Xenopus tropicalis: one gene and its partner. The protein of the gene in region 1 interacts with the protein of each later gene in a biochemical or structural test. Links are inferred from orthologs where the notes say so. Each region holds a gene or a part of one and is shown in the gene's direction. Other genes may lie near its edges. The genes, in order: nr4a3 and six3.

Region 1 (4,545 bases):
TCGTTCCAGCAACCAAGTAAGTGTGTATCTCAGCAGCGGCGACTGCAGCTTGATACCCGCTTATTATCTAACTTTTGATTGGATGGGGCAGGAGGTTTCAAGATCCCTTGCGGGTAATGTCGTGTTGTAAATAGCGACAGAACTTTTCACCGTGCCGAGTGTGGACTATGGGACGAATGCAATATGGAGATATTACCTGCAGTTGCCATAGTAATGATGCTGTAGGCAACATGATCGTAGCTGTGTGATGTACGGCAGTGATCTGACTCTTTCTTTTTAAGCATGCTTTTGATTGCGAATTATAACTTGCATCGAGCAGGTTAGGTAAGAATGGTATTGTTTGAAAATGGCAGGTGCTATTGTGGAAATGGGAACTATTGGTGAGCTGATCAGTTAGATGAAGTTGTGGTTTTGGATCTTCTGGTTATGAGTTGTTATGTGTTATCTGTTTTTGTGTAGCTACACAAATTGTCTTAGATTAGTGATGTTAGATGTTAGTGATACTGCTGTTATTTTGTTTGTTTTTCTCCTGTTGGTTACTAGTGGAAATCTCACTTTTTCTGACTATTGGAGCCAGTCTACTCCTACATAAAAGCATTGCTTGGATGGATATGCACTGATATAAATAGAACATAACATACATAAAACAACACTTTCTACACTTTTACAATTATGTAGTGATTATGTGGGAAAATTGCATTAGTTCTGTTCATTATAGTTTGAAAAGCTCAAGAAAACTCACTAATTTACCACACTTATTTATCTTTTAAGCAATTTAGTGAAGTCTGAGCTCATGAGATTATTTGAGATCTGTGGTCTAATGCAATAATTAGGTGGATGTTTTGAGGCCATCAAAGTGTTCCTTAGGTAACCTGGAGACCAGGCTAGTCTGTGGGCAGCCTGGATGCTCAGAGTGAGGCAGTTAGCTTGAGAGAGAGAGAGAGAGAGCAGTGGAGACAGGTCAGATGAACACCAGCAGATACAAATAACAGGTAATAAAGTATGCATAGATACTCCTTTCACTGATATATAACACTTCAGTAACAGTTTTCAGTAACAGCTGCTTGCTCTTATGGATATATGTTATAGAAGGATGGCTTTTTATCATTTAAGCTGCTATAAAATAATGACCATCTGTGAGAGGCTACATGCAATGGAAAACTATACCAAGAAATATTGTTGTTTTTGTATTTGGAAATCTTTATTATTCAGCTGTTTGTACATCAACTAAGATCAATTGTTATAGATTTGCCTTAACCGGTTTAAAGACATAAACACAAATGTATATGCATCAAGGGTTTTGTTTGATTTTTTACTGTTTCATTCCAATTTGTCATATAAATCCACTCAAGTAATGTAAATATATATTGTCTGCAATATAATGTTTAGTACACATTCAGATACATTTTCTTTGCAATTACTAAATATTCTGATTGATTTTATTATTTATTGATTTAATTATGGAACAATATCTTGCCCTTTACTCTACATATTCTCTTTTCTGTTAGATTCTAGGTTAAAGGAACAGCTACCATTAAGCCCTAAAATCACACTGACAACAATCTTCAGAAGTAGTGAATTTTCAGCTTTTATTTCTGATAGTCTGCCAAACCCTTCCACCATTCACCAATCATCTAGGTAATCATCAAAGGCTTGTATTTGTTATAGCTGGGTGCTAACATTGTAAATAGTTTATATTTACAGCCAAATGGCCATAAGATCTAACCAATTATGTTAGGAGCCAAATAGGAAAACATTTATTCAGCCCTGTACTATAAAATAACTATTTAAATCCTTTCTACATGCAGAAATTGTTACCTTTATAACCATTTATATATCAGCATAAATGCGTTTTACCGGTATATAATGAACATTGTTTCACTTTCAGTTTTAAATAAGACCTGAAATGAAATGTTATCTACTTGTAGGGAAGTTATCAAGGTATACAACATGAAGTGTTAAATTACCTGAATAAAAGAAAGTACAAGTATGGGACCCATTATCCAGAATGCTCGGGACCTGGGGTTTTCCGGATAAAGGATCTTTCTGTAATTTGGATCTCCATACCTTAAGTCTACTAAATGATTATTTAAACATTAAATAAACTCGATAGGCTTGTTTTGCTCCCAATAAGGATTCATTTTATCTTAGTTGGAATCAAGTACAAGGTACTGTCTTATTATTACAGAGAAAAATAAAATCATTTTAAAAAATTAGAATTATTTGTTTATAATGGAGTCAATGGGGGATGGCCTTCCCCTAATTCGTAACTTTCTGGTTAACGAGTTTCCGGATAACGGGCACTTAGTGCCTTATGAGATATTGTTTATGTGTATTTTTATGATTTAAAACCATATTACTACAATATGCCAAATTTATGGTTAACTGTAACTGGTAACCTGCAGCAGAAGTCTGAGTCAGGGACATCCTCAGGGCTTGTCTGCCAGCCTGCAAATAATATAGAGGAATCTTTGGAACTGACTGCTCACAACATGAATTATAAACAATAAAAATCAATAGGCTAGCATCCATAGTGCATGTTATCATAGAAAACAAGTGTGCCAAATGTGTTGTGGAAAAAGCTAAAATGTTTATTTTGACATAATCTCTTTCTTTTTTCTCTATATTTAACAAAGGATATGCTGTAAATTTATAAGAAAATACATATGAAGAAGTAGCACTAATATATACACATTACTAAACAAGAAAGAAAAGTTTAGGACAGAAAAATATAGAGATGCACCTGTATTTGTTACAAAATATAACACAAGCAGGTCCATCAAATTATATAAAACATTGGCGGATCCTGAGGGCAGACCCAGTCTTCAGGTAAATTAAGACTGAAAGGAACCTATAATTAAATTTCAGACAGTATTATCTGTTTGAATGTGGGTGCCCTGGAATGATATTATGTTCAATGGAAAGCTTTTTTTATAGGCACACTGGAGACCACCTGAGTCTTTTATATTTGTAGCCTAATGCTGTAGGAACTAGAAGATAAAAGGGGTTGTAACAACTTTCCAATACAAACAAATTACAGATTTTTAATTATTTAAAATGTATTTGTAAATATAATTCTGACTGAAACCAGTTTCTGTCTCTTCTTTGCCATTTCTCTGCATTGTTGATTCTGGCTCTATTTACAATGCTTTGCATGTTTTGTGACTACCTGTGAAAAAGAGTCTCAGAAGTGGGCACGGTGGTCTGGCAATTGGAGTTTTGGCTGTAGATAAGCTGATTCCTGCTGCATTGTTTTAAAGTTACATGCACAAAGTAGCACAGTACAAGCAGAAGCATGTTTAATTGTAATAACATTAAGAAATTAATTTAAAGGGGAAGTAAAGCCTATTTTGTGTAAGAGAATCCCTATATAGGCTCCCATAGGTGCGATCACTGGCCAAGAGCATGTGCATTTACTAAAAGTCAGGACCAGGTCAGCTTACAGTTTGCATGTTCTTCGCTGATCACACCAGCCAAACATAGAAGGCACCAAACTTGCCGCACAGGGGAGCTGGGCAACTGGGGAGAATGTACCCCTATGTACTTAAAATATATACAGTAATTTGTTTTTATAGTCCCAGATTTTATGTTTTTTTTATGTGGTCCCATTCAAGTAAACTTCGTTTTTTCTTTCCTCGATATAATGTTTTCCTGGAAAAAGATGGTATTCTACTTTGTTTTTATGCATGATAATAAATTGGGGAAAGGTTTACAGGCAAACAGGGTATTTTGATCACTTAAGTTTATAAAGAAATAGTAAAAATGTATATATATTTTTTAAATCCACAGGTATGCCATGCATGCAAGCACGGTATAGTCCATCACCACCTGTTTCCACATTTATAACTCAGCATTACTCTCATGGCTCTGAGCTCAGTAAACAATTAATTAGTTCTTACCATTCCAAAGTGAACATGGATCTAAACTGCACAGGGATTACAGCGTCAGCTACCACATCCCTGCCAAGTTTTAGCTCTTTCATGGATGGATATTCTGGAAGTTATGAACACAAACCCTCATGTTTATATCAAATGCAAGCATCGAGTCAGAGATCCTTGATAAAGTTGGAGAGTTACCATCCAATCAACTATCAACCATCAATTTCTCAACAAGCAAATGTTATGTCTAGCCCATCTATGTATTTTAAGCAGTCTCCTCCTTCAACCCCGACAACCCCAGAATACCCAGCTCATCTGTCACCACGATGGGAACAACTTGACACATTGCCACCTTCACAGTCATGTATAAACTCTGGGCCTTTGGTTGAAACTTTACTTAAAACTGTTACACCCCAGTATCCAAATTTTCACCTAAAGTATTCTCCTTTGAATAACCCAATTTCTAACTCACGGATGTGTTATGACCTGTCTCAAAGTATATTATTATGTCCTGAAGGAGTCTCTGCCCATGGGGCAATGGATCATCTGCCATACAATCTGCCTATAACAAAGGGATCTAATTTGATCTTTTCCTCACTTGGAAGTACTCACAATGTCGCTGTGTCAGGGGATGGAAACCTTCCATCACCCCCCATCCGAAAAACCT
Region 2 (4,337 bases), on another chromosome or scaffold:
ACAAATTTGATTGATAAAGAATGCAGTCACTGAGCCCAAATATAATTGATTATACATTTAAAGAGCAGTTATAGACAGATATTTATAGATAGTATGTCCATTAGCTTAGAATATATAGATGATATATAAATAAACAAATTGGTAATAAAAGTGATTGTATGATGCGTTTTAAATAACTTATAAATCGCATTATAAACTAGTTGGGTAGTGGGCCTGTTAGGCATATTAAAACAGATGGAGATGATAGATAATAGATAGATAGATGATAGATAGATGATAGATAGATAGATAATAGATAGATAGATAGATAGATAGATAGATAGATAGATAGATAGATAGATAGATAATAGATAGATAGATGATAGATAGATAGATGATAGATAGATAGATAGATAGATAGATAGATAGATAGATAGATAGATAGATGATAGATAGATATAGATAGATATAGATAGATAGATGATAGATAGATAGATAAATAGATTATAGAAATCTTATAAGATAGATAACATATTAATAAATACAGAATATTAGTGGGTAGACAAAGGGAGAGTATATGGGTAGAGAGGCTGAGAAATATAGCTATATGACAGAAAGGCAGATAGATGGTTAGCCAGACAGACAGACAGGCAGATATCTAGACAGAGAGGAAGGCAGATAGATGGATAGCCAGACAGACAGATAGGCAGATAGATGGCAGATACAATGGGTGAGGCCAAGAAGCCAGACATTGCTGCAGTTGAGACAAACTTTTACAAAGCCCTGAGAGTGGAGCAAGTGGAGCAGGAATATAGCGCCTGGCTTGGCACAATAAGGGTTAATGGGTGCCATGGCCGGGCCCAGGGTAGGTGGGTGCAGCAGGCAGTGCCCGGAGCAGGGTGACCCGGGTAAGGGTGCTCTCATGATCTCATCTCTCCATTCTTCCCCAGCACTATTGCTGCTCACATGGGCAGAATGAAGGGAAACTACGTGCAAATCATGTGGAAACGGTCTCAGTGAGAAGCCCTTTATTCCCAATGTGTATCCCCAGCCCCTTGGCCCATTTACTCCCCCCCCCCCCCCCCCCATATATCTCTTCTTACCTCCTTCAGATCACAATAATATTCCACCCACTAATTGCTCATCCCATTCAACAATCACATTATTTGATCCCTTATTTAAAGGGGAAGGATGTATGTGTATTTGTGCGGTGGGGGGAGTCTGCCATTAGATAACCCCCACCCTCCTCCCACCACAGCAGCAGCCACACTCCCATCTCTACCTTACCCCCCATCTAGGGGAAGTGGTAACTGCAAGTGACGTCGCCGCCGTTGATTGGCAGAGGTGACAGTGATTGGCAGCGTTGCCCTGGAGACACCTGGCAGACCAATAGAAAAGCGAAGCAATGTTTCGGTGCTGCACTCAGTGTGCATGGAAAGGGCGCTAGGATGAGGCCGCTGGCACTGCGCTGAGTGACTGTCCCGCTGCTGCTGCTGCTGCCGCTGTCGCTGCCGTTAGTGCCGCTGCTTCTTTCTCCCTGGCTCCTGCGGTCCCCCCCCTGCCGGCCATCCCATGGTGTTCAGGTCTCCTCTAGAGCTTTATCCCGCCCACTTCTTCCTGCCCAACTTCCCTGAGCGCTCAGTGCTCCTGGCCGGCTCCAGCGGGGGCCCCCGGGCCCAAGAAGAACTGTCAATGTTCCAGCTGCCGAGCCTGAACTTTTCCCCGGAGCAAGTGGCCAGCGTGTGTGAGACGCTGGAGGAGACGGGGGACATAGAGAGGCTGGGGCGCTTCCTGTGGTCCCTGCCCGTGGCCCCCGGGGCGTGTGAGGCCATCAATAAGCATGAGTCCATCCTGCGGGCCCGGGCCGTGGTCGCCTTCCACACCGGCAACTTCAGGGACCTCTACCATATCCTGGAGAATCACAAGTTCACCAAGGAGTCCCACGGGAAGCTGCAGGCCATGTGGCTGGAGGCGCATTACCAGGAGGCGGAGAAGCTCCGGGGGCGCCCCCTGGGGCCGGTGGATAAGTACCGGGTACGGAAGAAGTTCCCCCTGCCCCGCACCATCTGGGACGGAGAGCAGAAAACGCACTGCTTCAAGGAGAGGACTCGCAGCCTCCTGAGGGAATGGTACCTGCAGGACCCCTACCCCAACCCCAGCAAGAAAAGGGAATTGGCCCAGGCCACCGGACTCACCCCCACCCAGGTGGGAAACTGGTTCAAAAACCGGAGGCAGAGGGACAGAGCGGCGGCGGCTAAGAACAGGTCAGTCCCGGGAATGCCTCCCCTATTTCTGCCTCTCTTGGGGCATCTGGCTGGCTAGCAGGGTACTGGGCTCTGGGGGAGTACGCTGGAGTATTGGAAAGTACTGCTTGGGCTAGCAGGGTACTGGGCTCTGGGGGAGTACGCTGGAGTATTGGAAAGTACTGCTTGGGCTAGGAGGGTACTGGGCTCTGGGGGAGTACGCTGGAGTATTGGAAAGTACTGCTTGGGCTAGGAGGGTACTGGGCTCTGGGGGAGTACGCTGGAGTATTGGAAAGTACTGCTTGGGCTAGGAGGGTACTGGGCTCTGGGGGAGTACGCTGGAGTATTGGAAAGTACTGCTTGGGCTAGGAGGGTACTGGGCTCTGGGGGAGTACGCTGGAGTATTGGAAAGTACTGCTTGGGCTAGCAGGGTACTGGGCTCTGGGGGAGTACTCTGGAGTATTGGAAAGTACTGCTTGGGCTAGCAGGGTACTGGGCTCTGGGGGAGTACGCTGGAGTATTGGAAAGTGGAAAGTACTCCTTGGCTAGGAGGGTACTGCTTGGGCTCTGGGTGGGGGGGGTACTCTGGAGTATTGGAAAGTGGAAATACTGCTTGGGCTAGGAGGGTACTGCTTGGGCTCTGAGGGAGTACTCTGGAGTATTGGACAGTACTGCTTGGGCTAGGAGTGTACTGGATGTGATGGGAGACTGCTGCTGCTTGGGCTAGGAGTGTACTGGATGTGATGGGAGACTGCTGCTGCTTGGGCTAGGAGAGAATTGGATACGTCGGGCGAGTACAGATTGGCAGGAGAATACTGCATAAACTGTACTGATGGGCTAGGGGAGTATTGGATTTCCTGGGAGAGTACTAGAAGGGCTAAGAGAATGCTCTATGAGCTGTGCTAAATGGGCTAGGAGTGTATTGAATATATTAGGAGAGCACTGAATTGGCTAGGAGAATACTGAATGGACTGGGAGATATTGGCAGGGGGGCAGTTTGGCTTTGTACTTTTGGAAAGGTTTTGGGATATGTGGGAGACTACCGTAGGGGTGTGGGGAAGTGTTTTGGGACTGTGGGACAGTACTTGGGCCAGTAGTTTCCTTCTTATACAAATAAAGGTCTTCCTATATTATCCTGTATTAGTACAACTAGCTACGAACGCCGGCGGCCAGTGAGTTCTGCTTGCACTGCTTCTGTGATAGAAATATAGTTACTGACTGGCCCATATAGTGTAACAGTACATTCTGTGCATAGTGGGTCAGTTATAGAACCTGACTGTGTAAAACTGCTAAATAGCTGGGCGGTGGGAGAGTGAGTTCTCATACAGCTGAGATGGAAATATTGTGTGACTATGGGCCTCAAGTACAAACTAATATTGCACAGTATATTGGTGATGGGCAGCAAGATTAATAGAAAGAGAGATAGATAGATGATAGATAGATAGATAGATAGATAGATAGATAGATAGATAGATAAATATGTGGATAGATGATGGAGACAAGATTATTTTTAACTGATTAAATCACTCTGCCCATAAAGGAAACCAAATAAAACACCCGGGTAGTCTGTGTGTGTGTTTATGTCTGTGCAATAATTCCCTGTGTTCCATTTAAATTCCCTACAAAACGAAAGCAGATTCGAAATATGTTTTACTCTTTCTTTTAAAATAAAAAGGGGCACTAATAAATAGGGGACAGGCACTAATTACGGTAGTATAATTAGTATTTCAATTTATAAAAGCCTCCTGCACGTATAACTTGCACAGCCGTGTACCCATTAACGTGGGGCAGATTTTCCTTTTTAAATCTGCCCAGACCCTTCCCAAATAGCACCTTTCTCCCATTTAATTAGCACAGCAAGTCTGTAAACAAACTCCCATTGTGTCAGAAACATCATTTGCCGAATTGTCTTTATTTCTCCCGAAAATAAAGAATAGGAATACAAACTGTGTAAGTCTCCCATTTCTGTTAGGGCAAATGAGGGTATTAAAGCGGCTCTGCTTAAACGGTAAACAAGTTTAACGGTGGGGGGCTTTTGTCCTAGTGATGGTATTGACAGTAGCATCATTACCCCACTATGTATATAGCCTTAATTCGTGTAGTCATTAAGAATGA

What was found.
Region 2: the proteins of nr4a3 (region 1) and six3 form a complex in vitro, tested with the Homo sapiens proteins (3 studies listed by BioGRID). The link is inferred for Xenopus tropicalis from reciprocal best matches to the Homo sapiens genes NR4A3 and SIX3.

Annotation. Positions count from the first base shown.
Region 1 is NC_030682.2:64,938,826-64,943,370, reverse strand, and holds the start of nr4a3 (nuclear receptor subfamily 4 group A member 3), read left to right. Parts: upstream 1-1,514; 5' UTR 1,515-1,638; intron 1,639-3,789; 5' UTR 3,790-3,791; coding exon 3,792-4,545. UniProt on the Homo sapiens protein: Transcriptional activator that binds to regulatory elements in promoter regions in a cell- and response element (target)-specific manner.
Region 2 is NC_030681.2:19,137,785-19,142,121, forward strand, and holds the start of six3 (homeobox protein SIX3), read left to right. Parts: upstream 1-1,279; 5' UTR 1,280-1,551; coding exon 1,552-2,243; intron 2,244-4,337. UniProt on the Homo sapiens protein: Transcriptional regulator which can act as both a transcriptional repressor and activator by binding a ATTA homeodomain core recognition sequence on these target genes.